Xenopus tropicalis: one gene and its partners. The protein of the gene in region 1 interacts with the protein of each later gene in a pairwise test. Links are inferred from orthologs where the notes say so. Each region holds a gene or a part of one and is shown in the gene's direction. Other genes may lie near its edges.

What was found.
Region 2: the proteins of trim2 (region 1) and tnik interact in a two-hybrid assay, tested with the Homo sapiens proteins (2 studies listed by BioGRID and IntAct). The link is inferred for Xenopus tropicalis from reciprocal best matches to the Homo sapiens genes TRIM2 and TNIK.
Region 3: the proteins of trim2 (region 1) and lrrc8e interact in binary tests that used the Homo sapiens proteins (3 or more experiments, as listed by UniProt). The two-hybrid records come from large-scale screens. The link is inferred for Xenopus tropicalis from reciprocal best matches to the Homo sapiens genes TRIM2 and LRRC8E.
Region 4: the proteins of trim2 (region 1) and cib3 interact in binary tests that used the Homo sapiens proteins (3 or more experiments, as listed by UniProt). The two-hybrid records come from large-scale screens. The link is inferred for Xenopus tropicalis from reciprocal best matches to the Homo sapiens genes TRIM2 and CIB3.

The regions. Positions count from the first base shown.
Region 1 is NC_030677.2:55,131,701-55,138,987, reverse strand, and holds the end of trim2 (tripartite motif-containing protein 2), read left to right. Parts: intron 1-298; coding exon 299-466; intron 467-551; coding exon 552-732; intron 733-1,350; coding exon 1,351-1,421; intron 1,422-4,444; coding exon 4,445-4,585; intron 4,586-4,928; coding exon 4,929-5,081; 3' UTR 5,082-6,375; downstream 6,376-7,287. UniProt on the Homo sapiens protein: UBE2D1-dependent E3 ubiquitin-protein ligase that mediates the ubiquitination of NEFL and of phosphorylated BCL2L11. Plays a neuroprotective function. May play a role in neuronal rapid ischemic tolerance.
Region 2 is NC_030681.2:111,486,799-111,494,719, forward strand, and holds the start of tnik (TRAF2 and NCK-interacting protein kinase), read left to right. Parts: upstream 1-2,534; 5' UTR 2,535-3,021; coding exon 3,022-3,078; intron 3,079-7,921. UniProt on the Homo sapiens protein: Serine/threonine kinase that acts as an essential activator of the Wnt signaling pathway. Recruited to promoters of Wnt target genes and required to activate their expression. May act by phosphorylating TCF4/TCF7L2.
Region 3 is NC_030679.2:134,107,839-134,114,865, reverse strand, and holds part of lrrc8e (volume-regulated anion channel subunit LRRC8E), read left to right. Parts: intron 1-819; exon of another isoform or gene 820-905; intron 906-1,600; 5' UTR 1,601-1,617; coding exon 1,618-1,755; intron 1,756-3,661; coding exon 3,662-5,944; 3' UTR 5,945-7,027. UniProt on the Homo sapiens protein: Non-essential component of the volume-regulated anion channel (VRAC, also named VSOAC channel), an anion channel required to maintain a constant cell volume in response to extracellular or intracellular osmotic changes.
Region 4 is NC_030677.2:104,259,810-104,267,594, forward strand, and holds the start of cib3 (calcium and integrin-binding family member 3), read left to right. Parts: upstream 1-2,633; 5' UTR 2,634-2,921; coding exon 2,922-2,972; intron 2,973-6,054; coding exon 6,055-6,089; intron 6,090-7,785. UniProt on the Homo sapiens protein: Acts a an auxiliary subunit of the sensory mechanoelectrical transduction (MET) channel in hair cells. Plays a role in regulating hair cell MET channel localization and function.

The DNA.
Region 1 (7,287 bases):
AGCCTTCTACATATGGGTGCCTGTATTAAACACAGCCCTGTGGGTAACCAGTGATAGCATGCATTTAGGGAGCATGTGTGCATTAACGATGACCTGCGAGTGCCAAGTCATACATGTGGGTAGTAATTCCCATTGTTTCACTTTATTAGTTAAAAGCAATGTTCCCTCTAAGCTGTGTGCCTGTGCATTCATATACACAAATATTGAGACAATAAATTTGTGGCGCGCATAAAGAATTTTTTGTGTGAAAACATAAGCGTAAACTTCTTCTAATTTGTTGCCAACTTTTCTTTGTTAGATATTTTCAAATGATGGACAGTTTAAAAGCCGCTTCGGTATTCGAGGCAGGTCCCCAGGTCAGCTACAGCGACCAACAGGAGTAGCTGTACATCCAAGTGGTGACATCATCATTGCAGACTATGATAACAAGTGGGTCAGCATCTTCTCAGCAGATGGCAAATTTAAGGTATTTGTTTTTAGTATTTATATGTGTGGCTTGGCTTTCCACTTTGCTATTGCTTTTAACACTTTTTAAATATCTTTTTCAAAAGACCAAAATTGGATCGGGAAAACTTATGGGACCCAAAGGTGTTTCTGTTGATCGCAATGGCCACATCATTGTGGTGGACAACAAAGCCTGCTGTGTGTTTATTTTCCAGCCAAATGGAAAAATTGTAACCAGGTTTGGTAGCCGAGGAAATGGGGACAAACAGTTTGCAGGTACACTCGATGGTAATATTTAGACCACCTTTGTTGTGTGTTTCTAATATCTTGCATGCTGTGTAGGAATAATTTAGCATGTTGGAATGACAATTATGCATGTCTATATAATTACATGGTAGAGTGTCTGCATCTGGAACAGCATACCAGTCAATATTATTAACTTATAATTTAGTTGACACAGGGCAACCTAATAGTTCGTAATGTGCCCCATGCACTATGACTGATTTTAACCAAATTTATAAAAGAGATGGAGTCGCAAAAGTGTTATAGATCCTCGTGCCACATAAAGAAACCTCTGAAGACTTAAGTAGTTATAGATAAGAAACTAGTGTGAAAATAGTAATTGTATGTTTGGCTATTGGTACACTTTTGGAATCGGCATATTTCTTTAAAAAAAACCCAAAAAATACACCACAGTAGATTTAAAGTGCGTAATTTTATTAAATTAGTATATATGTCATTGTGTTATTATACAGCTAGATTTAAGTCTCTGGTACAAAAAAGTGGAAACGTAAAAATACTTGCATATTGTTATCATTTATATTGCCCACAAAGAGTCCGTTTAACATAAATGCTGCACATTTGGGGGGTTTTAATAAGGTATACCTTTCTTGTTGTGTTTTATAGGTCCTCATTTTGCAGCTGTCAACAGTAATAATGAAATAATTGTGACGGACTTTCATAACCACTCAGTTAAGGTAATGTAACCTGGGGAACGGGGGGAGCACTAACAGACTAGGGAATGTTTGATAACTTTGTTTGACATAGAGCTTTTATTCAGAATTTTTTTTCTTGAAAATGAGTGGACGATTTTGATAAAGTTTTATAGCTGTGGCGGTTTGCCTACTGAATTTGAGTACAAGGATGTGTTCTCTCTTTGTGGAGACTTGTTGTTTTTGCTAAATATTGCTAAATTGCTAAATCTGCACTCTTACGGTGATGCATACCATTCCCTTTTATCCAGAAGGCCATGTTGATTTTGCCATTTATAACACAGTAGAATGGCTGTTGGAAGTTTTCATGGAAGGCTGTCGCCAATCAGCCTTGAGCAGTGAAAAAAGATTTGCGTAATAAAACAAAAGAAAATAATAAATATGATAATTACACAAAAGTAAATTATTTTAAAGTTACTTGTAAATGTTCTTGCTAATAAAAATGCCATAACTATCTTGGTATTTATGTTCTATACATGCTTAGTAAAACAGTGTATAAACAGTGTATAAAAAGTCATCTCTCCTCTTTGCATAACTTCAGTTTCCCCAATGCCTTGCATACTGTATGATTAACAGAATTGTGAAGAAGTACAGAAGGCATTTTGCAAAGTTAAGTCTTGGCTGGAGGAAACCTGTCTTCTGCTAGATTGTCAGGAGAAGCACTATAGTAGTAAATAACAGGCAGATACTGCCTTCAGTTTTTTTAATTATGCAGAAAGTAATATATTTCATTGCTAGTCTTTTAAACAATACTAAAACAAGACGTATATGTAATACATTCTTAAAGGAGAAGGAAAGCTACAGATGCAGGTGATTCCCTAATAGTTTAGTCAAAATTGTGCAAGATACAATGCTATATTTATTCTGTAGAATGCTTTACAAAGTAAACAGCCCTAAAAGCTCTCTCTGTTTTAAAGGAGAAGGAAAGGCTAGTAAAGAGTTAATCTCAAAATGCAGGCATACCTTCAGTTATCTCAATAGTGCCCTTAAGTCTCCCCATATTTCTCTAATTCAGATGATCAGAAGCCAAACAGTAAGGAAAAACGCTGAGCTGGGTAGAGAAGATTCCCATAATGCATCGCTCATCCCCAGACTCGGAGACTTAGAACTGTAGGCAGCGCATGCGCAGAAACAGGAGGCTCCCCCTAGCATCTGCAGCGGCAGCATGAGACACAGGTGCTGGTAGGGGGGAGAGGCAAGGGGGACACGAGCGGCGGTGCTGGTAGGGGGGAGAGGCAAGGGGGACAAGCGGCGGTGCTGGTAGGGGGGAGAGGCAAGGGGGACAAGCGGCGGTGCTGGTAGGGGGGAGAGGCAAGTGGGACACGAGTGGCGGTGCTGGTAGGGGGGAGAGGCAAGTGGGACACGAGCGGCGGTGCTGGTAGGGGGGAGAGGCAAGGGGGACACGAGCGGCGGTGCTGGTAGGGGGGAGAGGCAAGGGGGACAAGCGGCGGTGCTGGTAGGGGGGAGAGGCAAGGGGGACAAGCGGCGGTGCTGGTAGGGGGAGAGGCAAGTGGGACACGAGTGGCGGTGCTGGTAGGGGGGAGAGGCAAGGGGGACAAGCGACGGTGCTGGTAGGGGGGAGAGGCAAGGGGGACAAGCGACGGTGCTGGTAGGGGGAGAGGCAAGGGGGACAAGCGACGGTGCTGGTAGGGGGAGAGGCAAGGGGGACACGAGCGGCGGTGCTGGTAGGGGGGAGAGGCAAGGGGGACAAGCAACGGTGCTGGTAGGGGGGAGAGGCAAGGGGGACAAGCGGCGGTGCTGGTAAGGGGGAGAGGCAAGGGGGACAAGCGGCGGTGCTGGTAGGGGGGAGAGGCAAGGGGGACACAAGCGGCGGTGCTGGTAGGGGGGAGAGGCAAGGGGGACAAGCGGCGGTGCTGGTAGGGAGGAGAGGCAAGGGGGACAAGCGGCGGTGCTGGTAAGGGGGAGAGGCAAGGGGGACAAGCGGCGGTGCTGGTAGGGGGAGAGGCAAGGGGGACACGAGCGGCGGTGCTGGTTAGGGGGGAGAGGCAAGGGGGACAAGCGGCGGTGCTGGTAGGGGGGAGAGGCAAGGGGGACAAGCGGCGGTGCTGGTAGGGGGGAGAGGCAAGGGGGACACGAGCGGCGGTGCTGGTAGGGGGGAGAGGCAAGGGGGACAAGCGGCGGTGCTGGTAGGGGGGAGAGGCAAGGGGGACACGAGCGGCGGTGCTGGTAGGGGGGAGAGGCAAGGGGGACATGAGCGGCGGTGCTGGTAGGGGGGAGAGGCAAGGGGAATGCAGCTCCAGACAGTTGCTGAGGAGAGAGAGGCACAGTGAACGTAGAAGCCATGTTAAAGATGGCGGCGCCGTTCACTGAAACAAGTATGTAGAATGTAGCAGTGTATCTCTGTAAATCTTTCATTAGGCAAGCTAGAAATATAGCGTTTTTACACAGCAATAGTAGTACTATTTAATAGTGTGGTTAATAGATTTTGATGTTCCTTCTCCTTTAAGACAGAAACTGGCATTTTAGCTTGATGTGGTGTCACTTCCCTCTCCTGTCTGTGTCTCTCTTAGCTCTTGACTTAGATTACAGCAGGGAGGGGAGAGGGAGAGGGGAGCAAACTGTGCAGACAGGCTGCCTTGAGCATGAAGGTTTAACTGAGAGAGGACTAAGAACAGTATCACAGTGAGTGTTACTGGGTGTATTTACATAGACCGTTATAATAAAGCTTACATGGTTTTAACCTTTCCCTCTCTTTTAGAAAATGAGGGGAAATTTCAATCTATAAATGAAACCCTGTAACTAACTTTTTATATACTGTACTCACATTTTCATTTAAACAATAAATGACCAGTAACATAACACACAGTTGTATATGCATAATACATAAATGCATTTTTTCACATTCAGTATTTCATACCAGAAGTCTTACTAAGTCAATACGTTAATAACTGATGATGATTGTTTGGTTACTGGACCAGAGCAAAATCTCCTCTTTTAATACATAACCACCAATATTTTAACTTTTAGTTTATTTATGATATTTGCAGGTATTCAACCAAGACGGTGAGTTCATATTAAAGTTTGGCTCAAATGGAGAGGGCAATGGCCAGTTCAATGCTCCAACTGGAGTTGCAGTGGATTCCAATGGAAATATCATTGTAGCTGACTGGGGGAACAGCAGGATACAGGTAACGTGCACTTACTCGCTGCACCTTGAGCAGTGGCCTTTGAGGTATGCACCTTGCACTGGAATAGAAATGGCAGCCAGGTACTAAACATCATAGGCAGGTGGTCATTACATGGCACCACAACACATTGGTGCTTCCTAGCTTGAATGTGTCATTTCAAGTGGATGTTCACGTACCACATCCTGCCTGCCCCTTATTCTTACAAAATAGTATGGTAATGTTGGTTAATTCTAATGTGAATGATTAATCTCCCAAGTATTAATGATAATTTCTCATATATGTATTTGTTTGTGTGTGTATGTATATATAATATTATAACCACTGCGTTCATTATTGTCTTTAGGTTTTTGATGGAAGTGGGTCGTTTTTATCTTATATTAATACATCTGCTGACCCACTCTATGGGCCTCAGGGACTTTCCCTGACATCGGATGGTCATGTGGTTGTAGCAGACTCGGGAAACCATTGCTTCAAAGTTTATCGATACCTGCAGTAGCTAAGGGGCCATAGCTTTATGGTAAAACTGCATTGCATTTGAACCAGCACCTTCATGCAAGATTGATTGGGAAAAAAATCATGCTTCTTAAGAAGTGAACTCCAAAAGACTTTGATTTTATTTAACCACGTTTACGGTCTGGTGATGACTTGCTTTTGTTTAAAGTGTTTCATCGCTATGAATTCAAAGTGGGCTTGTAAACGTACAAGGGGATGGCATTAACATGTTAGAGGAACCTTAACACAAAAATGTAAATGACTCATCTTGTGCACTTAGGTCTTAGACCTTTTAGAATATATACTCATGGAATGGCGACTCCATATGCGAGTTTCCAAATAATTATTAACCAGTTGTTATACATATCTCTCCAATGCTGAAATCTGAAAGTCTTCTAATCCATGTATATTGGTAGCTGTTGTGTTATAAAGTAGATTGTACAACTGTACATTAATATAGCATTGCAAAGAACAGTGTAATCAGTACAACATTTTTAAGCTGTTGTCATGTTTGTAATTATTACACAAATCTAAGCAGCCTTATAAGGCCATGTGCATTTCTATTTATTCTGTGGGAAACTGATATAATGAGCATACATTCAGTACATATTGTTTCATTTCATGCATTCTGACAATATTATTTTTTTATAAAACAGAAAAAATACAAGTTTCATATTAAAACGTATTCATAGTTTTTTTTTTTTACTTCTAATTTCCCATGAGGTCATGCTTTATTAATAACTTACTATAGGGAAGCAAAAAGGGAATCCGAACAATATTGCATGCTCCCTTCCTAATAAGACATCTTAACATATAAACATTGTTCTTAATATAATGAAAGCAGAAAGACAACGTAGGCTGCCTTGAAATGGATAAATAGCCATATGAAAATTGGGTTGGGTGAGTTGCATCTTAATAGCACTTTCCAACAATTTGAGTACAACAGTAATTCTGATAATCTGATTGAAATAATTTGAATCTGAAAAAATAGAAATTATCAAGGTGGGAGGATCGTATCTAAAATTTTTTTTCCCCCTGTGCACACCTTTTGCCTTACATCTTTTTGGTAGTGAAAAGAAACATAAAGGTGAACTGGTAAATGTATGGTTTTAGGCTATAGAATTGCCTGAAATCAGGGAAAGGTGGATCTGTTGGGAAAAGCTTTGTCTGTTTTAAAGTAAGATTTTGATAAAATAAACATTTTTCAGTTTTTTGAAGGAACACTGGAATGATATGTTTTAATCATGTCTTTGAAATTCTGTAAATCGCATTTGACCAATAAATGGCAAAATAACGACTTCCTGAGTCCAAGAGCTTGTTTTTATCCATATTAAAGGGATACAGTCTTGATTTTTATGGTGTACTTTTTATTACTAAACTACACTGTTTACATAGCAAATAATTCACTCTACCATTTAAAAATGTATTCTTAAACCAACAAATGTATTTTTTTAATTGTAATACTGGTGTGTAGGCAGCCATCTCAGTGTATTGTTCCTGAGTCTGAGCTTTCAGAAGGAGCCAGCGCTACACATTAGAACTGCTTTCAGATAAACTATTGTTTCTCCTACTCCCATGTAACTGAAGGAGTCCTGAACCAGACTTGGGTTTCTTACTATTGGATGCTATTCTGATATCTATTGGGAGCTGCTATCTTGCTACCTTCCCATTGTTCTGCTTATTGGCTGCTGGGGGGTAAGGGAGGGGGTGATATTACTCCCAACTTGCAGCTCAGCAGGAAAATGTGACTGAAGTTTATCAGAGCACATGGCTGTGGCACCCGATATGCCATCCCACCGGCTTGAATGTAAATCACCAATTGTGGCATATACGGCGATGCGATTTCCCAGAAGCAAAAATGTATTTTTAAAACAAAAGGGTTAAAATCAGTGGATTATTAGGCAAAAAAAACAGGATTGGTGGGCAACATGAGCATGGTTTACGGTGCATATTAGAGAAATCGTAAGTCTTGCAGTGCCTAAGAGGATCTGCTCTCTATCTGACTTAGAAGCAGAAAAATATTTAAGTTTTATAGTTTTTGAAAGGCTCATTTAGGGAACCGTTCTATCTTCTCAAAGCCCTCGTGTGAGAAAAACTCTGGCCATAAAATACTGAACCTTTTGCCAGTCTGCATAGAATCATGTCTATTGATGGAAAATGTGTCAACATCTGTAACCCTGTATCACTTCTATGTATAGATTGTTGAAAAA
Region 2 (7,921 bases), on another chromosome or scaffold:
GCAATGCAGGGTTATACTCACAATGTAGATACAGATGTTAAATGATAGTAGTACTCTGAGGACAACAAGAGAGGATGCACACCGGTTTATCCCACCTCCTTTTAGAGTCTGGGCAGGGTAAATGCACTTGGTCAGATTGACACCCCTTTGGAAGCAGTCAGGATAGATACCTCAGTCCTCAGGTTGATAGCCCCTAGCTTTAAGAGTCCCTAGCTTTAAGAGTCCTACAGCTGACTCTGGATCAGGGTTTAAGTACTGCCTGTCATCTATGTCTTAACCGTGGCCCTATGCTTTGGCAACATTGCCTGTATGGAGGGATACTTCCAGCTACTTTCCTTGGTGGAGCTGAAACTGTGCTTGCTTCCATCCCTCTCTATCTCACTCTCCTAGAGAATGCTCTTAAAAGAGTAACTATCTAACTGGTCCTTGTGCACGGGGTCCCTGTCCCCGACTTCTCTAGAGTATAAGATGGTAACCCTAGGGCAATAAGACTTTACTGGGGCCTTGTTCTGATCCCAGGCTAGTGACCTGTTCCTGAGACACAGAGGAAGCCACACACTCCTGCTAAGCACTATTTTGGAGTGCAAGGGGTGTGATCAACCAAATAAAGCAATAAGGTATAATAGCAAAGGATAAACTAGATACATGGGTCTTTTCCCAGTAACAGCATAAACTAAGGAAGTAGTAGGGTTTAAAGCAATAGGGGCAGATTAACCCTATGGGTCCCTACAAGTGCTTTTGATGGGTGAGGATAAGTAGATAGATTACTGTATGAGAACTAGGGGGCCTCACAGTGGCTTACAGCTGTGGCACTGAATGATAGAGGTTTGGGCAATGGGCAAACTGCAGTAAGCAGATACTACACAAATATCTTGTTCTTCGGGTGCTGCAAATTAACATACTCTTGCTCTGTATTTCCACATGCTTTATTGGTTTCTTCTTCTCAAAATACTTACATATAAGCCCTATATGCATGTTCTCTGGTTCTAAGCCTATCTATGACCCTAACTACATACAAACATGCTGGGACCTACTCTCATAGCACTAAATCTTCTGTAGCTCCTAACAGTCCAGCTCCTGCATGCTTCATATGTAACTCCGCCTAGACCAGTGATCCCCAACCAGTGGCTGGTGAGCAACATGATTCTCACCAACCCCTTGGATGTTGCTCTCAGTGCCTGCAAACCAGGTAGTTATTTTTGAATTTCTGACTTGGCAAGTTTAGGTTGAATAAAAAAAGATTTACTACCAAATAAAGCCCCCTGTAACTGATAGTGTGCATAGAGACTACCTAATAGCCAATCTTGGCCTTTATTTTGTCTTCTTACATTTGACTGTGGCTCACGAGTAAGAAAGGTTGGGGAGCCCTGCACTAGACACTCAATCAGCACTAACTCACTATAGCCTTTTTGGAGTCTTTATTTTGCCCTATTCAGCTTGCTGCTTTCTGACTGGCTTATCCCAACAAATACTATTTTTGGATTCTAAGCTAATATACTCCTAACAGCATACTTTGATACTAGTTTTTCAAATGCTCTGCATGGTTCCCTATTCCACCATTTGTTAATTACAGCTCAACTAAATTTTCCCAGTATGCCCTATTTAGGGCCATGGCAGACGGGGAGATTAGTTGGCCGCGACAAATCTCCTCGAAATACCAACCCAACGGCAAGAATGTAAATCGCCGGTGGGATCACATACGCAGCACGGGGTTTCGGGGCCGCGTATGCGATTTACATTCTCGCTGGTGGGATGGCATTTCGGGGAGATTAGTCGCCCGCGACAAGGGAGATTTGTCGCGGGTGACTAATCTCCCCGTCTGCCACGGTTTAGAGCTGTGACACACTGGGAGATTAGTCGCGTCTGGAATGCCATCCCACCGACTAGAATGTAAATCGCCGGTGGGATGGCATACACGGCGCCGCAATTTGCTGAAGTTTCCTCTCAAGGAAACTTCGGCAAACCGCGGAGCTGCGCATGCCATCCCACCGGCGATTTACATTCTAGGATGACATTCGACCAATCTCCCCGTGTGTCATGGCCCTTAGGGTTTCTCCAAGGCAAGTTATATTGTTCTATCCCTGCCTGCCATCCTTACCACTGCTAGGCTGATCTTTTATATTGTTATAGGCCAGCATGCCTTGCCCAGGGTTTCTGGGCTACTCTCCATATTGCCCAGCCCCCCCCCCCCCATGCCATTCTTACAGCTCCTTTGCGCCTACATATACCGGCCAATCCCAGAATGCCCTGCTTATAACCAGCTACTCTTCATATTGCCTTTCCATCCAGATCTGGTGACCTAGTACCGAGATTAAGGTTTGTTCCTTTTCCCACTGCATTGTACCGTCCTCCGGAATACGCTGGCGCTATATAAATAATAATACTCCAAGTACTGCAATACCTTACTGCTAGCTACCTGCTCTATACCGGACACACAGCTCCCCCACCCCCCAGGCAAGGCTGTTTAGCTATATGCACCTGCTGCAGTATAAGGAGCCCCTCTCACACAGCGCTCCCACACGCTCTATAAGATAGCGCTCCCACACGCTCTATAAGATAGCGCTCCCACACGCTCTATAAGATAGCGCTCCCACACGCTCTATAAGATAGCGCTCCCACACGCTCTATAAGATAGCGCTCCCACACGCTCTATAAGATAACGCTCCTCGACCGTGAGAGGAAAAGGCGGCGCTGGGCAGCACCATCTCTCCGGACGGATCCACCTAGTTTGGCGTGTGGCTCCTCCCAGGAAGCAGTGACAGGCTTGTTTCAGCAGCTCCTCTCCATCCCTCCGCTCTGTGAGTGTGAGAGTGTCTTATTATTCCTCTCAATGCAGCTGCCATACAGGCAGAGCCCAAGCATGTCCTACTGCAAGCCGCCCCCGCCTCCTCTCTCATAGCACCGCAAGCCGCACACCTTCTGGGCTCGGGCGGGACCGCCGCATGCTGGGCTCGGCTCTGGGAGAAGCAGCAAGGTGGGAAGAACGGGGAGCTCTGTGCAATATACAAGAGAAAAGGAAACATGGCGAGCGACTCCCCGGCTCGTAGCTTGGATGAGATAGATCTGTCGGCGCTGAGGGTGAGTGATGTCTCTGGGGGGTTATTGTGGGAAGCTGCTGCTGCTGCTGCGGGGGATCCGGGCTGATAGGCTCTTTATTGTGCCAGTCCTAGGGGCGAGATGGAGAGCTGTCTATTCAGCCCGCACTGTGCTGCTCACTGATATGTGATTATTATACACAATAATGCTCATTCATCTGGTTTGCTGCTGTCAGTGCTCTCCTATTGTGAATGGAATAGCCATAGCAGAACAGTGTGTGAATAACAGGCACAAAGCCACTCATCATTATATCGCATTTGGTGAGCCACTTACACATAAAGATGTACATAGAAACCGAGTATATTCAGCCTAAAACGCAATATTAGCATTATGCATTCATGTGATCATCTCAGGAGTGGGGCGGACTATTAACAAGTAGGGGAAGGGGTCAATTTCTATGTATATCTGCTGAATGTGCACATAGAGGCTGTTGGGCAAATCAATTCATTGCTGTATTGAATGGTCGATGGCTAAACATCACAGCAATGCTTGCCTACCGCTGCGCTGCCTTCATTTCCCATTATCAGTGTCTGCTTTTGCCTCAGTCAGTACAGTGCAATAGGCTGTGGGGGATGCTGGAAGTTGTAGTTCAGCCGGCACTGGAGGGCCCCAGGTACATCACTGCTACAAGGCACATCAGGGTTTCTCATTGCTTCATGTCTTTATATAATGCCATTCTTCTGTTTTGTATGTATGCTATTAAATTTTGAAAGACACCGCCATGTATAAAGGCCACACTGACAAAGGCCACATTGTTGTGGGGAGCAATTTAGTATTCTCATTGGTGATTTATATGGAAGATTGGATTTAGCCTAGAGATCCAGTGCAAAAGGAGAGAATGCTCTTTGAATTCTACCACCAATCAAGCCCTTCTTGCAGTAGAGTTCCTAAGACAATAAGGTTGATGGCATAGTAACCGGACAATTCTCAGGTCAATAGGCTACTTTAATAATGGTAGATAATCGTAGATTTTTGTCGCTGCTATGTGCCAACTCTTACATTGGGAGCATATTTGGTTTAAATTGACTCCTTCCTCATTCCACTGTTTGTTGAGGAGCTATCTGTTTTCATTATCCACTGTACAACATACCAGCCATTGTTAGTTAAAGGGTGCCATGTTCGCTTTGGAAAAAGCATGTATATATACAAGTGGAATGCACGTAAGATAGCAGCAGTTTCTGGTCTGCAGGCACTTGCAACTCAGGCTTCCTAAAATGACCTGTGCTAATGAGGGCTGTGCTGTGCTAGCTGTCATGTTCACATGGTGTCTGTAAGAAACAGCATTCTTTGTATGGCTGGATGTGCTAGACTATTGTACAGTCAGCGAGATTAAGGATGGACATGGCTCGTAGGGCTGTTTAAATTGAGAGTCTTATGTCTGCTTCAGTGCTCGTGCTTGCTGGTTTTATCTCAAGCCTAAACAGAAATATAAAGTCAGTGGACCCATCATATCATTTGAATTAAACATATCTTTCTTAAATAATATCCTGCTTGTGTATCTGACTCTGCAAGTTTAAATAAATCCTTCAGGCTTTAGATGGATGCAATCTCTATTATGTTTTCAAGCTGTTTGTATTATGAATGTATGGGGCAAATCCACAAAGCATTAACCCTTTTATGTCTAAGGCAGCACGCCTTATGCTGTAGTTGTTTCAATCCAATTTTTGCTATTCTTAGAGGAAAACAATTTATGATCGTAGTGGAAGGTCAGAAACCATATTGATGGTATGAAGGTTTCCCAGTCATTTCACAGTGCCTGGATGGGGAATCAATAGTGCATTGGCTGCCTGAGTGGAAAGGATAGCAGCGCTTAGAGGTTTTTCTGGATTGCCATTAGTTCTTTTCCCTGCTGGCTTACCTTGAGATTCCTGTCAAGGGTCAAGTCTGTTGCAGAAACAACCTTGGGCACTGGACCTGTCCAAACAGAGCCTGACGAGGACAGCTTGTTTTATTTCTGCAGCGGGCCTGTCAAATGTTTGATGCTGTGAAGGCAGCCAAGGGCTCCAGAGTCACACACTCCCTTCAACTGCTTTTTAGCCACAATTTGCCACCCTTTATTGGACATAGCTGAATTTATGATGGTTCTCTTAAACATATTATTAAGGTATATTTTAGTATTTTATGCAATCCTTAATTTGGATTTAAATGAGCAATGTGCTGTTCTTGGCATTCAACAAAAAGCCAGCAGGTAGCATTCTGTATTATTTCACCCAGCACATATTGTGCTATTTAGCATTTCAAATCAATGCTTTGAAATCACAGGCTTGATTGAGGACTGTTAACCCATTTGCCACCAAAAAGGGCTGCTTGTGTCTTATAAGGAAAATTCAATTTCAGCAGAAGAAATTTGTTATACAGTATATACTATCAGTTTTGTCATGATGTTAAAACAATATATTTTGTCCCTGTTAGCTTGCGGTTGTGCCCTACTTTCAGTGTAAGCAATGCATATTTCCACAACGCCATTGAAGCTTGTTTTCCATTTATTTTGTGTGTGTGTATTCAACAGCTACTGTTGTTCATTTAGTCTAGTTGTTTATAAGTAGGCAAGGCAACTTCTGATTATAGAATTTGGGGGGTGACATTGTCAGTGTTTTATAAGACAGTCATTTAGGGTGATTATATGATCATACACTCCATATCTATCATAAGTTATGCAGTACAGGTATAGGACCCATTATCCAAAATGCTCGGGACCAAGGGTATTCCGGATAAGGGGTCTTTCTGTAATTTGGATCTCCATACCTTAAGTCTACTAAAAAATCATTAAACCATTAATTAAACTCTATAGGATTGTTTTGCATCCAATAAGGATTATTTATATCTTAGTTTGGATCAATTACAAAGTATTGTTTTATTACTACAGAGAAAAAGCAAATCAGTTTTAAAATTTGTAATTATTTGATTAAAATGGAGTCTATGGGAGACAGGCTTTCTGGATAATGGGTTTCTGGATAAGGGATCCCATACCTGTACTTGGTCACCATTTCTATTATGTTGTTTTCTGCGCTTACTTGTGGACATTGTTGATGGGACTGTGCAGAGTTTTTGTCCTTGACGTGATACAATGTGGCCAGTAAAGCTTTACCTTATGATGAAGTGCAGCACCCTTACTAAAACTTTTGAGTTTTTAGTAGGAGCATGTTCATTCTCTAACCCTTTTTGTCTAGTGACATTTATTAAGAAGCCAATATGAAAAACAATATCATACTTGCACTCTGCCAATAGATCGAAGTCTGTATTTGTCCCTCTTTCTCAAATGTGACAAGGATGTTTATTTACGGCTTCAAGTGCGGTTTTGATGCAAACTGATGGCAACTTAAGGCTAAAATGTTCTAGGCATGGGGCTATTAGTGTGTGACTTTTTGGGTGCAAGTTTTTTGTGCATTTAATGTGGCTGTGTTCTCCAGTGTCCCTCGGCATCCATAAGCACATTTTCGCTTGATACACTTGATATCTGGCCTAAAATTGGGCAGATCTCGAGCGGGCAGGTTTGATTTTTCCCATTGAATTAGGGGCCACATCAATGAGCCGATTCAATCCAACAGGGGTGACCTAGCTAAACAAGCAGATTGCACCGTATTAAACCACCTTTAGATTTATATGGTAAAGTGTGATTTGACCCATGTGTCTGCTAAAGAAACACTATAAAAGGAGTAGTGGTTCATGCAGATTGTACAGTAGGCCTTTGGAAATTCTCCTAGGGGCTCTGTTTCTGTATGCTGTGACATTTAAATATGTATCTTACACTTATTTATGATACCTGCTTTGAACTTTTTTTTTTGCAAAATGCTATAGTTTCACTAGGTCTTTATTCATGTAAAAAAAAAAATTATGTCATTTTATATTTTATCTTAGTATGGTAACCAGACATCATACATATTCCATCTGGGCAACAGACCAGTATTTCATAAGTCATTTTAATTCCATTGCGCTTTTAACATTTCTGTAAAATAGCTGTTAAAAATAGATTGTATTGAGTTCTGGAGATGTGCCACCAATGTATGGGAAAAAGCTTGTGCTGGCCAGGGATGCACCTGACTCAGCCTCTCTCATTGATCAGTGGAGGAACAGTGCCTTGACTTCCTAAAACACACTGTTGCAATCTTTTTTTTATTTAATACCTGGTTAAATATGGAAGGAAAGAATTTTGAAACCCACAGAGCATGGATCCACCAACCTGCTGGGTCCCTGAAATCATCCAGCAACAGAGAAACACAGCCACTTAAATGTTGTCAGCTTCAGTATTATTGGCAACTTTTTATTTTTTGTTATTTATTTGTGTTTTATTTGTTGTTTATTTTAATTTTAAATAAAGGTATTTTGATCAGTAAACATTTTTGAAAAGACGATTGATTGAGGAGTATTTACTGTTTTATATCCTGGTTAGATAATAAGACCTCACACAATAACAGAAGCCATGCCTAAATTTTTAGTTCTTTATGATCAGCTCTTATTCATTTGGATGATTAATTAATTAAAAAAAATGTCCCTAAAAGCAGAGTAGTGATTGACCATATACCATAAAGAGTTGGTCACAGAAGAGCTTTAGCGTTAATATATTATTTGATATCTATGAGCAGTAGCCATTATAAACAGTGTGATGCAAAATATTCAGCCCATGACCAATTTTTTTTCTTTTTCTGACCAATTCTTTTTCTGGGGGGGGATAAGTATATACCAGTTTTGCTCACTATTTTAAAGTGGTTTTAATTCACTATTCTAGGTAGGTATATTTGCGCCAGGTTGCTTCAGCTGATTGGATGACATTTAAAGCGTTTTAAAATTAAATAAATCCCCAAGAACCAATATTCAGGGTATTCTT
Region 3 (7,027 bases), on another chromosome or scaffold:
TATTGGGTTTATTTAATGGTTAAATGATTCCCTTTTCTCTGTAATAATAAAACAGTACCTGTACTTGATCCCAACTAAGATATAATTACCCCTTATTGGGGGCAGAACAGCCCTATTGGGTTTATTTAATGGTTAAATGATTCCCTTTTCTCTGTAATAATAAAACAGTACCTGTACTTGATCCCAACTAAGATATAATTACCCCTTATTGGGGCAGAACAGCCCTATTGGGTTATTTAATGGTTAAATGAATCCCTTTTCTCTGTAATAATAAAACAGTACCTGTACTTGATCCCAACCAAGATATAATTACCCCTTATTGGGGGCAGAACAGCCCTATTGGGTTTATTTAATGGTTAAATGAATCCCTTTTCTCTGTAATAATAAAACAGTACCTGTACTTGATCCCAACTAAGATATAATTACCCCTTATTGGGGGCAGAACAGCCCCCTATAAAAATTACTGGAGGCAAAACAATCCTATTGGTTTCAATGATATATAAGTAGCCTTAAGATATGGAGACCCAAATTACGGAAATACCCCCAGGTCCCGAGCCTTCTAGATAACAGGTCCCATACCTGTAGCTGCTTAATATCTTGATAAAGGCCTGAAGACATGGATGGAACTTGTAGAGTTATTCCTATTTGTTATCCTGATAACATTGTTAGCCCATTGCTCAGTGCATCTCCGTGCAGTGTTGATGAAGGGGAGGGGGTCCTGCCTATACCTGATAAGAGAGTAGGCCTGCAGGGGAAAGATAACATGTTACCGAGCAGCCTCTGTAGGAACAAATACTATACAAACTCTGTGGCTTCTCAGAGGAGAGCGTAGCTTCTATTCTCTGTCCACAAAGAAAGAATGAGAGAGAAAGCAGGAGAAGTAACCTGGAAAAGGTCTGGAGAAGGTCTGGAGAGTTAATTTTAAATAGAGAGACTGCTGGGTAATGTGCATTAGTGCAAAGGCAATGTGTAGAGTGCGAGAGGATGGTTATGCCTGTCTGGGTGAGTGTAGATGTGATAAGGCTGAAGGGATGGAGTGCAGAACTAACGGTTGGAGTCAGAGAGGACAAAGTCTATTTCAATGGGTGCAGAGTTGATGTATAAAACTGGAGAGAATGAGTTTAGTTTAGTTGCTTGAGCGCAGATGTGAAGAATATATATATTGAGATTTTGTTGGGATGTGTAATGTTGCGTTGGGGAAGACAAACGGTAGTGTCACAAATGGAGCAGGGTTATACTGACACTAAAACACTGCTCTTCAAAATTTTAATGTACATTAAAAGTTACTTATAGGTCATGTAGATTGTTTTTCACTGATAGGGCTGCTTTTGTAAGTAATTGTTACTTGCCAACCTGACTGTCCCTTCTCAGCCTGTCAGTTACAGCTTCTAATGCTAACCGACAAATATGGCCGCCCCCTCATAGAGGAACATGGGGATCTGATAATGTAAAAGCATTGGGCAAAAGAGTTAAGGCAAAAGAGTAAATAGCATGCAAAGACAATGTTATGGCACATGTAAGTAAGATTCATTTTTGGTGTTAGTATCTCTTTAAGAGCGAAGATTGTGCAAATAAACGTAATTCTCTCTCTTTGTTCCAGCTCTCTAGGCTGCCAGAATGATTCCCGTTGCAGAGTTCAAGCAATTCACCGAGCAGCAGCCAGCCTTTAAAGTCCTCAAGCCCTGGTGGGATGTCCTGGCTGAATATATCACTTACGCCATGCTCATGATCGGGGTCTTTGGCTGTACCTTGCAGGTGGGAATTTCATATTCCATTCTTAATCTTTCCATTCTTTTCTTTATTTTGCTATTTTGTGCTGTTCTCCCATCTTTTGTGTATCTTCTGATTCCGGTTACACGGAGGCCCTGCCCTCAGCAGCTTATGAATACATCAGGAAATAATGCAGACCTTGCTATTTACCCTTTATACTCTGTACAGAGTGGATTTTGAATACAGACAGGGTTTCCCTGTAGATTTCCACAGATTGGAAGGAAACCATGTTACGTACAAACTGTTTTCCAACCCTCCTTAGGCTCACAGTGTAATCCAACCCCTCCCTCACTTTGCCCCATTTTCAACTGATGGATATTGAGGCTTTTGCCACACGTTACATTTTTATACCGACAAAGAAATCCACTGCCTTCTGCTCCAGTCTTTAGAATACACTTCCAGGTACTCTATCACCACGCACAGATCAGATTTCAGCTGAAAAAAGGCTAAAATATTCATTTTTTTTTGGCAGAAAAGTTCTTTTTTTATATAAGCCAATTGAATGAGCTTATGTCAAAAGTTTGTATTATCACTATTTTCCTGATGTGTTGTTTACTATCTCCTTCTGCACATAGAGCAGGGTGGTGTCACTGTTGTTCTTGCTGGACTTCAAATTCAATCATATTTAAGTGCCTCTCTCAAGAGCAGGATCAGTTACCCTTTATTTGACAGGTTCATTCACATTCTGCAGAAGTGCCATCCTCCGGACCAGGTCTGCTGTGCTCTGCGAGGATCAAGTCTGTATATTCAGTACTATAACAGAAAATTTAACATTTTAAGGAAAACAAAGTACTAACCCAGCACACAGGGTCCTGGGGGCGACACTTCTGCATAGAATTTCAACCTGGGGCATCTGTATAGCTTTACACACCGGTTTTACTACAGAATAACACAGACACAAGGTCTGAAAAAAAATTCTGAAGTTTAAATGTGGCCATACACGGGCAGATTTAAGCTGCCAATTCAGGTCCTTTAGACCGCTTATTTGCCTGTGTATGGGCCTACCCGACCGATAACTGGCCAAAAATTGCCCTGATATTGTTTGGGCAAGTTTGATTTTCCAATCAGATTGGTGACCGCATCGGCTCGTTGATGCAGTCCTTTGCTAGGGCCAAACAATCACATTAGCCTGATATTGCCCACCTTAGATGGGCATATTGGGAGCAGATCAGCTTGTTTGGTGAGGTTGCAGCGTGTATGATCACCTTATGTCCACGGGAAAATGGTATTCATAAAAGGGGTACAAAAGATGCCAACAGTATTGCTTTTAAGAACCACTGTTTTAGTCCTAAGTTTTAAAAACACGGTGTCGGGATATGCCGAAGAGATAGACAGGACTACCATCATTCTACGTACCCTACTGTGGCACAATATGCCAAAGTGATAGCCTGGCCTACCATCATTCTACATACTCTACTGTGGCATGATATGCCAAAGTGATGGACTGGCCTACCATCATTCTGCGTACCATACTGTGGCATGAAAGGCCAAAGTGATAGACTGGCCTACCACCATTCTACGTACTTTAGTGTGGCACAATATGCCAAAGTGATGGACTGGCCTACCACCATTCTATGTACTTTAGTGTGGCACAATATGCCAAAGTGATAGACTGGCCTACCATCATTCAACTTACCCCGTATAACTACATTTTGATTGACCACCATGTGCCTGCCCATGACCTGCCCATGTATGCCTAGGATTTCTTTTTACAGTTTACTGCTCGAGATCATTTTCTTATAGAAAGTTTGTTTTCTTTAATCCACATCCTATTGTCAATTTTATTCCAACCAGTCAATTCTCAGCTTCACTTTTGCATTTATTGTTCATTTTCTGTTGCTTTGGTGCCATTTTGTTCCCTTGCTGAAGCTGTTCTATGTTTACATCCCAGGTTACTCAAGACAAGATCATTTGCCTCCCCAACCACACTTCTGCTGATGTTGTTTCCCAAATAACATGTCAGGAGTATGACCAACAGTCGCCCCCATCCAATGATAGCGACCTTGAAACAACTATTCCACCACCAACTGCTACTTCAAGTCCTCCTCGGGAGATGAGTGGTCTACGCAACAACCTAGACCTCCAGCAGTACAGCTTCATTAATCAGATGTGTTATGAGACCGCGTTGCACTGGTATGCCAAATATTTTCCATATTTAGTGGTCATTCACACCTTGATCTTTATCATCTGTGGGAACTTCTGGTTCAAGTTCCCAGGCACCAGTTCCAAAATAGAACATTTCATTTCCATACTCGGCAAGTGCTTTGACTCCCCTTGGACTACACGAGCCCTGTCTGAAGTCTCGGGAGAGTCTAGTCAGGAGAAACCCAGTCAGGAGAGGAGCATCGATCGAGAGCTCTCTAAACCAAACTTTGAGGAGGGCAGCCCTGCTACTGCTGACCTACCAATTGCAGAAAAACTAGTGGCTGAGACTTCTTCGGCTAGTGTATTGGACAAGAAAGAGGGGGAACAAGCCAAAGCCCTGTTTGAGAAAGTGAAGAAGTTTCGGCATCATGTGGAAGAGGGTGACTTGCTCTACTCGATGTACATGCGTCAGACTGTGCTAAAAGTGTGTAAATTTGTGCTGATAACAATCTACAATGCAGTTTTGGTGGGAAAGATTCACTTCATTGTTCCCTGCAGTGTTCATACAGAGGATATGACTGGCTACAATAGTTTCTGTTGCAACCACACTAAGGCCCACCTTTTTTCCAAATTAGCTATAACCTACTTGTGCTTTTTGGGTGTCTATGGCCTCACTTGCCTCTACACTCTGTACTGGCTCTTCCGACGCCCTCTAAAGGAGTATTCCTTCCGGTCAGTTAGAGAAGAGACTGGAATAGGGGATATTCCTGATGTGAAGAATGACTTTGCCTTTGTGCTACATCTGGTTGATCAGTATGACTCTCTCTACTCCAAAAGGTTTGCCGTATTTCTATCGGAGGTGAGTGAAAGCAGGCTGCGGCAACTGAATCTCAACCATGAGTGGCCAGCAGACAAACTGAGACAAAAACTTCAGCATACACCAGAAGGTCGACTTGAGCTGCATCTCTTCAAACTCCCAGGCTTGCCAGATACAGTCTTTGAGGTTGCAGAGATGGAGTCACTTAAGTTGGAGATGGTTAATGAGGCTCTTATCCCACCATTGGTATCTAAGCTGGTGAGGCTGGAGGAGCTGTCCCTTATCAACTGCACAGCCAAAGTTCAGCATGCCTCCTTGGCTTACCTTCGGGACCACCTTCGGATACTGCAGGTAAAGTTTGACGACATTAAAGAGATACCTTTGTGGATCTTCAGTCTTCGTGCTTTAGAGGAGCTCCACCTCTTTGGCTGGCTGTCACAGGACTTATCTAAAAACCCAGCTTTAGAAAGTCTAAGGGAATTGAAGAGTCTGAAGGTGCTTACAATAAAGAGTAACCTTTCTAAAATCCCAGCTACTGTTGCAGATGTGGCCGGCCACTTGCAAAAATTTAGCATTCACAACGATGGAACGAAACTCCTGACCCTTAATGCTCTGAAGAGGCTCGCTCTCGTCAAAGAACTTGAACTGGTACGCTGCGAACTGGAACGTATTCCCCATGCAGTTTTTAGCCTCACTAACTTACAGGTGTTGGACCTAAAGGAAAACACCCTTCACACAATAGAGGAGATCATAAGCTTACAACACTGTCGGAAGCTCAGCGTTCTTCGTTTGTGGCACAACCAGATTGCCTACATCCCGGAGCATATCCGTAAACTAAAGGGTCTTGAGGAGTTGTCCTTAAATCGCAACAAAATTCTGGTGATTCCCTCCCAGCTGTTCCTCTGTAACAAGCTCAGACACCTTGACCTGTCTAACAATGAAATCCGGGAGCTTCCTCCAGAGATCGGGGTGTTGCAGCTACTTCAGTACCTTGGATTAAGTGGAAACTTTTTGGAGGATCTTCCCAATGAGTTGTTTTTCTGCCAAAAACTAAAAACTTTAAAACTAGGGCAAAACAGATTGGGAAATCTGTCCCCGAAGGTGGGATCCTTAGTTTGCCTGGTAAAACTAGAACTCAAAGGAAACCGAATGGATACGTTACCTCCTGAGCTAGGGAACTGTGTGAGCCTAAAGAGATCGGGCTTGACTGTGGAACCCTCCCTGTTTGAGACATTGCCAGTAGAAGTGAGGGACAAACTCAAAGAGGACTGAAATGGGCATATACAGTATGTAGTGGAAGGACTGAGCAGAAATATGGAGGTTCGTTAGGAACATGGAGAGAGAAGGGTATATAATCTGATGAGTAGTAAGCAGAGTATGCAGTATAGAGAGATTACAGAAGAGAGAAGAGTAGAAGAAATCATTATTATGTCCCCCTTTCCTTCTAAATGTTACAGTAATGGATGCCAAACGAGTAGGTCGTGCCTAGTGTATTCCTCATTCCCGAATGCCTGTTGGCAAACCATGGGGCATATTTCTAAAGGTGTGTAAGGTTTTTAATACATTAAACGTGGCCGCTTCAACCCCATGGTTTAACCGCCATATTTAACTCCACTTTGTACACCAGAAATTGCAGTGTGAATTTGTTCCACTGACTTCAATGGGCTGTGAGAGTGGGGCAAGTTATTGGCATTGTTTGTCCAACTTGAAAGTAAATACAGTAGAACCCCCATTGTACATCCCCCCGGAATTGGCGCCATTTTGCTATAGTCCCATTCAGGATTTAACATTTTCCCAGAATCTATGCAGTTTTGACGCAGTCCCCTGGGAAACGTAAAATCGGGGTTCTACTATAAACAAGTAGTGTGACTACGAAGCGCACCGTTAAAGGGCCAGTTCACCTTAAGGTTAATTTTTTATATGTAATAGAATGTCCTATTCCTAGCAACTTTGCAACTGGTCCATTTTTTATAGTTCTTAATTATTTGCCTTATTCTGCAACATTTTTCCAGCTTTCAAATGGGGGTCAGTGACCCCTAAAGCTAAAGAAATTTTACTTTATGAGCTTATTTAATTTTTATTGTTACTTTTTACTCCTTATTTTTATATTCAGACCTTCTTCCTGTCTCTCAATCAAATCACTGCCTGGTTGCTAAGGTAAACAAGACCCTAGCAACCAGATAGTTGCAATAATCCCAAACTGGAGCAAAAGCTAAATAACTGAAAAACCACAAATAGTAAAAAAATTAAAACCAATTGGAAATTGTTTTAGAATATCAATGTTTACATCATACTAAAGGTGAACTACCCCTTTCATTTATGCATAAGGTCTGCAATTAGAAATACGCCATAGTG
Region 4 (7,785 bases), about 49 Mb from region 1:
AATATTAATGTTTTTTACAAATTGCCTTAATATAATGTTTAACTAACAATCCAAATTATATCCATAAGACAAAGATATTGGTTGGGATCATCAGACTTACAAACATGTACCAAACTACCCAAACATGAAGCCTTTTTCCACTGGCCAGTACTTTTAAAAAAATGTACTTCCTGGAGTAAAAAAAAACGTAACAGAGCAGTGTTCCACCATTTTCCCAGGCATCTTTAGAATGTTATTGTTGCTGACATGAAACAGAGTTGATTCTTACTGGACAGTATGACTGAACATAATTTAGAACTTTATCATTCATTTGCCATTTTAGCATTATTTTCTCTCAGTCATCTTTTATACCCCTTATGGAGCTGGTTATCTTACTTTAAATTTACAGGTATTTTGTATGTGTTGTCTTTTTATAGTTTGCTTTAAATATTTTTTCCTTTGCCTCTACAATGAAAAAAGGAGCAAAGAAATAAAATCAAACAAGCAAAACTAATATGTTTGTTTTAGCGCCAGTATGTATTTCATACGATATGTGGACAGTCTGATGACTGATGAACAAACTGCTTGATTTTTAATGATGTACACCAGTAACAGTACAGTACTTATAGTGCATACCCCCCAACTGTCCCGCTTTTAATAGCGCATCCCGCTGTCCCGGATAGTTCCATGAATGTCCCGCATTTCGGGACAGCGGGATGTGCTGGTTGGAGAGGCTCCTTGTGGCGGCGACAGGCCCTTTTATAAAGTTGCACCCCGTGCGTATTGACATCACACGTATGCAGGGGGCCCAAACTTATAAAAGGGCCTGTCGCCGCTGCATAAGGAGCAGGAGCCGCTGAAGAAGAAGGAGCATCTATGGGGGGGAAGGGAACTGTCTATGGGGGCACTGTCTATGGGGGGTACTGTCTATGGGGTCAACTGGGGGCACTGTCTATGGGGTCAATTGTGTATGGGGGTAGTTTCTATAGAGGCACTGTGTATGGGGGCTACTGTCTATGGGGTCAATTGTGGGCACTTTCTATAGGGGGTACTGTCTATGGGGGCAATTGGGGGCACTGTGTATGGGGGGTACTGTCTGTTGGGCCTTTGGGGGCACTGTGTATGGGGGGAAAAACTGGTACATAGTTATAACTCACTTATAACTGACTGCCTTCTCACTATATTTGTATTTTATATTTAGGTGTTGCTATATTGTTTTCCTTAGGTAGTACAGTATGAGGGTATAGCAAATTTTGCGTCTGATCCCACCATTTCAACTATATAAAAGGAGTATTTTTTGAAAAAAAATGGGGTGTGGTAATTGGGGCGTGATCACAAAAGTGGGCATGGTCAAAAAATTGCGCGCTAAATCTTTTTGTCCCTCTTTTCATTTTTCAAATGTTGGGAGGTATGATAGTATATTAGTGTACTAAATACTCTGGGTGTGTAAACTGTGCATTTTTGGTAGGCCAGTGGTGCTCTTAGCATTTTTTTGTCTGGAGTAGATATGCCAGTAGAGAAAAGGCTGATCTGCTCAAAACTGCCCTGGTGCAAATATGCATCTTGACAATTATATACTGTGCTGCTAACATACTTTATTTTGCTTAGTTTATATTTTCTGGGATGTGGTGTAGGGTGTTATTCTGTTTGAGAGTTTATTATGGATTGCAGTCAGTGTTGAGCCTAAAGAAATTGCAATTGGGCCCCCATCTGCAATGCACCCCACTAAATGAGCACCCTACCTGCCATCCCTATAGCGATAATGCATGCTGCTGGGCCCTGTGGGACAGGCCCTGCTGCATTTATACCCCCTGCCCCAGCTGTAGTCACACCACTAATTCCAGCATGGCTTTTACTGAAATAAGTTCACTGTATTCAAGTGGACTGTGATTCTAACCTGGAGGGGCAGATTTATGATTGTGCAAGCCTTTTTTCCCCTGAAGCCCTGTGTGAGTTCCTTAACCCACATGGGGCTTTTTATGATTGCTGGAGCCGAAAGGCTTGAGCAATCATAAATCTGCCCCATAGTATTCAGACAAACTAAATCTCACCCCTTAAAATAGCAGTTCAGTGTAAAAATGAAACTGGGTAAAATAGATAGATTGCGCAAAATAAAAAATGTTTTCAACATAGTTCGGAAAAAATGTAATCTTTAAAGGCAACCAATCAGTAATTTGATGGGGGAGTTGCATATGGGACATAACTGTTTAGTTAATTAGTTGAATCTGACCAGCGTGCTCACAAACTAACTGAACAGTTTACTGTCCCATGTGCCCCCCCCTAAAGTCATTGACTAACTAAGAAGTTAGAGAGCTAAAAGGAGGAAGTAGTGTTCTGGCTATTATGTTAGACATCTATTGACTCCAGCCTTTATAGATTACATTTTTGTCTAACTAACAATATTAGAAATATTTTTTATCCATTTTACCCAGTATATTCAGTCAAACCTAAAGATAAATTATGTGGTGCATCCCTACTGGGTATAGCAATGTAGGAGACAAATTGCCTCTGAAACTGCTTTTAGACATGTACCAGCCCCTAAATGCTTTGACAAACATATTTTTTTCCAGTAGTACTTTCTCTTCATGTGTCACTGAACTTGAAAAAGGCAATGTCCTCCTTTAGCAATAGTCATGTTAGATGGTGTAATATGAGTTTATGTTGGACATGCAACAGATGGTGTAATTATAGTACTTTATGCGTATGCTCCTGAATGATGGTGGAAGCCTTATGCGCATGAGTTCTTTATACACATCAAAGATTTGATGAAATGCTCCTATTATGATCCTGAAAAGTAGGAAGAATAAGATAGTGACATCCGATCTTTCCCTGTGCCTGACCCCTGCTGTTGCGGCTTTTAATATCTCAATATTCAGGGACAGTATAAAAACAGAACAACAGAAGAATGGTAAGGGGATTTGGATTAGGAGCTCCCTAAAGTCATGGGGAATAAGCAAACTATTTTCACTGCTGAACAGCTTGATACATACCAAGTAAGTTTCTTACTCTTACTTTCTAAAACTAGAAGGTTTTTGTTTCATGTGTTTGGTAACTTAAGTATTAGTTCTTGCATAAGGCAAAGGTTTTCCTTAGATGCTAAATGGCGCTATTTATATATATAAACCAAGATTTATCTATTTTCCAATAGTAATTTTTTTTATGTATTTTAAATGCCACACCACAACAGAGAGACTGTGATATATCATTGTTAATATTTATATTAAATATTGTTTTTTTCCCATCTTTATACATTAATCAGACATGTTCACAAGTGTACTATAAAGATTCAAGTCCACTTGTGATTTTCTAGGTTAGAAAATGGTATATACAGTGCTTAGCATTTAAGTAGCAGCTCCATCATTTTAGGATTTTTAAAAATATACTATTCTTTATTTTTATAACCTCAACATATTCCTGCCGCACTTTACAGAGTTTGTTATTTATTTACATATGCTCCATTGCAGTTTTTCAAAGGAAAAGTTGAAAGCATCAGTATACCAGCTTTAGGTTTCTTGTCCCTGTTTTACAAAAAACTGAAATATTGAAAGCTGGCATAATTCAAGTATAGCCTTAGAAGACCAAAACACTGCATACCTACATGTAAAACCTATGTATCATTTTAGGCTGATTACACATGGAGCATTTTCTTAGCGAACATAGTTCAGCCAGCAGAGAAGTGCCCAAACTGCCCTAGGTGCATTCCATTATTTGTAATAATGACCCCCTGACACTGCCAATACTGGAGGTTTTTTAACCTAAAATGCTCTAGGGTGCATTTTAAGAATGAAAATGGCCAGTACTAGAGTAGGTGGGAGATTTCTCAGTAGGCAGAAATATGGATATAAAGCACTCTGTTTGCCAAGAGCCTTAAAAATCACTCATTTATACTTTTGCTAAATGGAGCCGTAGATTAGAACTCAAATATGTGCTGTATAGATATATCTTATTGGATAGAAAAACTACTTTAGGACAAAAAATGATTGAAGTGTAACGATTACAACAACAAAAATTACTATTTCTTCAATAGGGATGGCAGTTTAGAATGTTAAAAATACAGGGGGTTGTGGTAGCACTCCAAGTCCAATTATCGAACAGATAAAGTGTAAGGGAAGTGTTACTGATCTGACCAATGCTGCTCAGTACTATTTTCATTATACTTTGATCACAGCCCCCTGTATCTATATATTTCAGTGGAGTTATTTTGCAAGAACGAAGACCTAATTTGCAGGTGGTTGTAGCACCCCACCCAGTATGTAAAAGGCAGTCTTAAAATTTTCATTGTTTGGCCAAAAATCAATTCTTTAAAAACACAAATGCATTTACAAAGAATAAATTTCTAGTAAAACATAAAGACCAGGGAATATATATTAATCAATTCCTTTATTAGAATCTAGTCTGCATGAAGTCAATAATTAAGTGATTTCCAACATAACTAGATATGCATTGTTGAAAATGCTAGTCATCCACTGATTAGGTAGCAAATATAAAGGGCAAAGTAAGATTTACATGCAAACCTAGTTAAGTAATTCTGATTTCACATTACAATACTATGCTAGTCCTGTGGCCTGGTTTTCTTGGTTTCTGATACCCCTTCAATTCGTATACCCATTACAGTCACAAAGTCTTACCTCATTCAGTCTTGAGACCTAACCTAATATAATGAACCTTCCTGATCATGTCCTCTAGGCTTGCCTCTAAAGGGTAAACCCTTTCCTGGTACAGTTCTGGTCTTTTGCCTAACCCAGTCATTCAGCCTTACCTTTATGATTTCTAAAGCTTTATTGGTTTCAGCCCAGTAAGTAGCCTTACCTTGCCTTTTGCAGTCCTTCGGCACTTGTAGCTTCATCTTTTACACCCCTATGGTCCTGCCAGTCCTTCAGCCTTCAGTCCCTATCTGCTTTCCAGAGCCTTATCTGTTCCATTTCTGTAACCTTATTTGTTTCACTCCTGCTGTCTTAGCCATTTCAGTCCTGCAACCTTAAAGGGGACCTAGTTGAGTAAAATAAACTTGATTTACACTGTATGAATTATTTAAATGTTGTTTTTTTCAGTCTTGGAATTGACAATCATAGCAGGTAGGCAGGCACTATTTTGTGGGTACTGTTATTATAGAGATACTGACACCAGAAATGCAACCTTTTTTTATATTTATCATAACATTGTCTTTGCATGCTATTTATAATGTTGTACAGCTTTTTATGTCTGGGTGACATGACCCCTTTAACCCTGTAGCCTTACCTATCCTGGTCCTATTAGTTTCAGCCCTGCAACCTAAACTCAATTTCAGTTAAATAAGCAACCTGTTTAGGGCATGTTATTTTGTCTGTGAAGTCATGAAGCCTTACTTTTTCCAGTTCAGTGGTTATGCATATTCCAATCAACCTGCATTTCCAGTTACATAGCCTTACCCAGTACTGTTGTCTCTTTACAGTTCCATGGTACAGTCTCTTTAGACTCTGCAGTTTTATCTGTTTTTCCAGTCTTGCAACCTTGTCTAGCCAGTAGTGTAAGCTCATTAATATACAGGCCTTACTATGTTTGGTGTCTGGAACCTCAGTTAGTCACAATATTTAAAGCATATCAAAATTAGTAATTAGACATATTAGTCTTCTTTAATTGATGAAAGTTGATGATTTAAATTATCCTGCTATCATGTCTGGTCACTGCAATACTATATATATATATATATATATATATATATATTAGCATGTAGAACACAGAGCACTCATGGGACTTAATTATGTGCGAAAATGTAATGGTGTAAGTTAAAGGTCCTATGAGTGCTCTGTGTTCTACATGCTGATATTGTTTTTTGAGGCAGCACCTAGGCCTTTCTCGCCTTTTTTTGGGTGAGTGCACTGCCTTTCAAACTATATATATAATTTGAACACCCTGATCCTTTTATACTCATTTTGCCTTAGTTTACTCAAGGGTCAATTTTGAATTCGAACCTTTTAGGTGCTGTTCAAATTAACAAGCTTAAATTACTTATAGATTTGATTTACTGTGTCTGGCTTTGTAGACTGTTTGGGGGGACAGAAAAAAAGTGATAATTTTTATTTGTTTTAATTGTAGGATTGCACCTTCTTTACAAGAAAGGAAATACTCCGGTAAGCAAGGCCAATTACTGTTACAAATAATATTTGTATTAAATTATACATATTCTTTAAAGTATGTAATGTGCACACCAGCAGCATTACTACTACCATAACTACCCTGCAACCACAGGACAGCCCAGGTCAGAGGTGGGCTTGGGGTGAGAAGTTTGCTGTATGGTTTCAACTGGAGCTCCTTGTCCACTCACTGCACAAACTGCCTGCTGGTGGATACTGATGGTGTATAATTGGATGGGGGGCCATGGGAAACTTTTCTGTAGGCGGCCCTGCTCCCTATCATTATGCCACTGATGCACGCCAGCTACCATACAGCTAGTGAAACTGATGCAAACAAAAAAATCTAAATTAGCTTAGAAAAAAGCAAGCTTTGTATCTAATTCCCCCTAATGTCCATCTTAATGTACTGGTCTACCTACATGATACACTAACAGAGATTTCTGTATATTTACTATATGTGCAAATATCCAGACAACCACTGCCAAACTTCAAAATGTCTCTGATATGGAGGCTATGAAAGATAAATCCATTTAAGGGGGTGGGGGGTACATTTTGTGGTAAACTGCAGCACTCATCACTAAAAAATTTCCATTTGTTTCGGCCTCAATGAAATGAAAAATTGGGGGTAAAACTTGTGGGGATTCTGATGCAAGGTCTATGGTTGTTTTCTAAAACATCCATTCAGCATTTGTAAATAGATTTTAGCAACACTTTTTTCTGAGGCCCTTGCACCATAAACGGTTTTCACTAAAAAGGGACATGTATTACACTCACTGCATATGACATCTTTAAGAATCAATTAATGTAATTCTTATTAAATACTTCATTACTTTGTCCATGTCAATTTTAATTTCTGATATAGTGTTATTTTTTTATCCGGTGCTTAGAGCAGAGTACGGTGCAAAGTGCAGCGCAAGTGTTCCTAGAACGAGCACTGTGGGACATGTACTTGCACTTGGGCCCCCCGGGGTTTTAAATGACCCCTTATATTTTCTGGTATTGATCGATGGCTAACACTGTACAACACTCTGTTACTATAAATAAACAGGTCTAATAATTAGTAGAACCCCTATCAGCTGCTTGACATGAAAACATGACCATGAAAAATGCATGATGTGAAAAAATACAGGTGCTTCTAACTGACATTTTCTGTTAATTTCATAAAAATATTAGAATTTCTGATGAAGTCATGAAACCATATGAAATGTGGATCACTTATCCTGACTCCAATACAGTTTGCCAGTTTGTAATAAAGGCAAGTTTGATACCCTGCGTTGTTTTTTTGGCTGGGGATTATATGAAACATTACACTCAATTACACTCAATAGTAGATTGGGCTGAAATATGACTCAAGGCTGTGGAGTTCAGCAGAAGGGCAGTGGCACTGTTCTTGTAACGATAAAGCCGGAGTTCTGCCAAGGATATACAGTGCTGAGAAACCATTAGATGGTCTATGTTTCATAATAATGTGTATATTTTATTAATAGCATGGTTACAGCCAAATCTTATTATAAGTCTGAATAAATCACCCAGAATTATATATTATGAAAAAAACACTTGTAACGTTAAAGAAAGACAATACCCCCAGAATATTTAAATTTAGATTTAGTTCCGCAAGAACATGTTATTTTAAAGGAACAGTAACACCAAAAAATGAAAGTGTATAAAAGTAACTAAAATATAATGTGCTGCT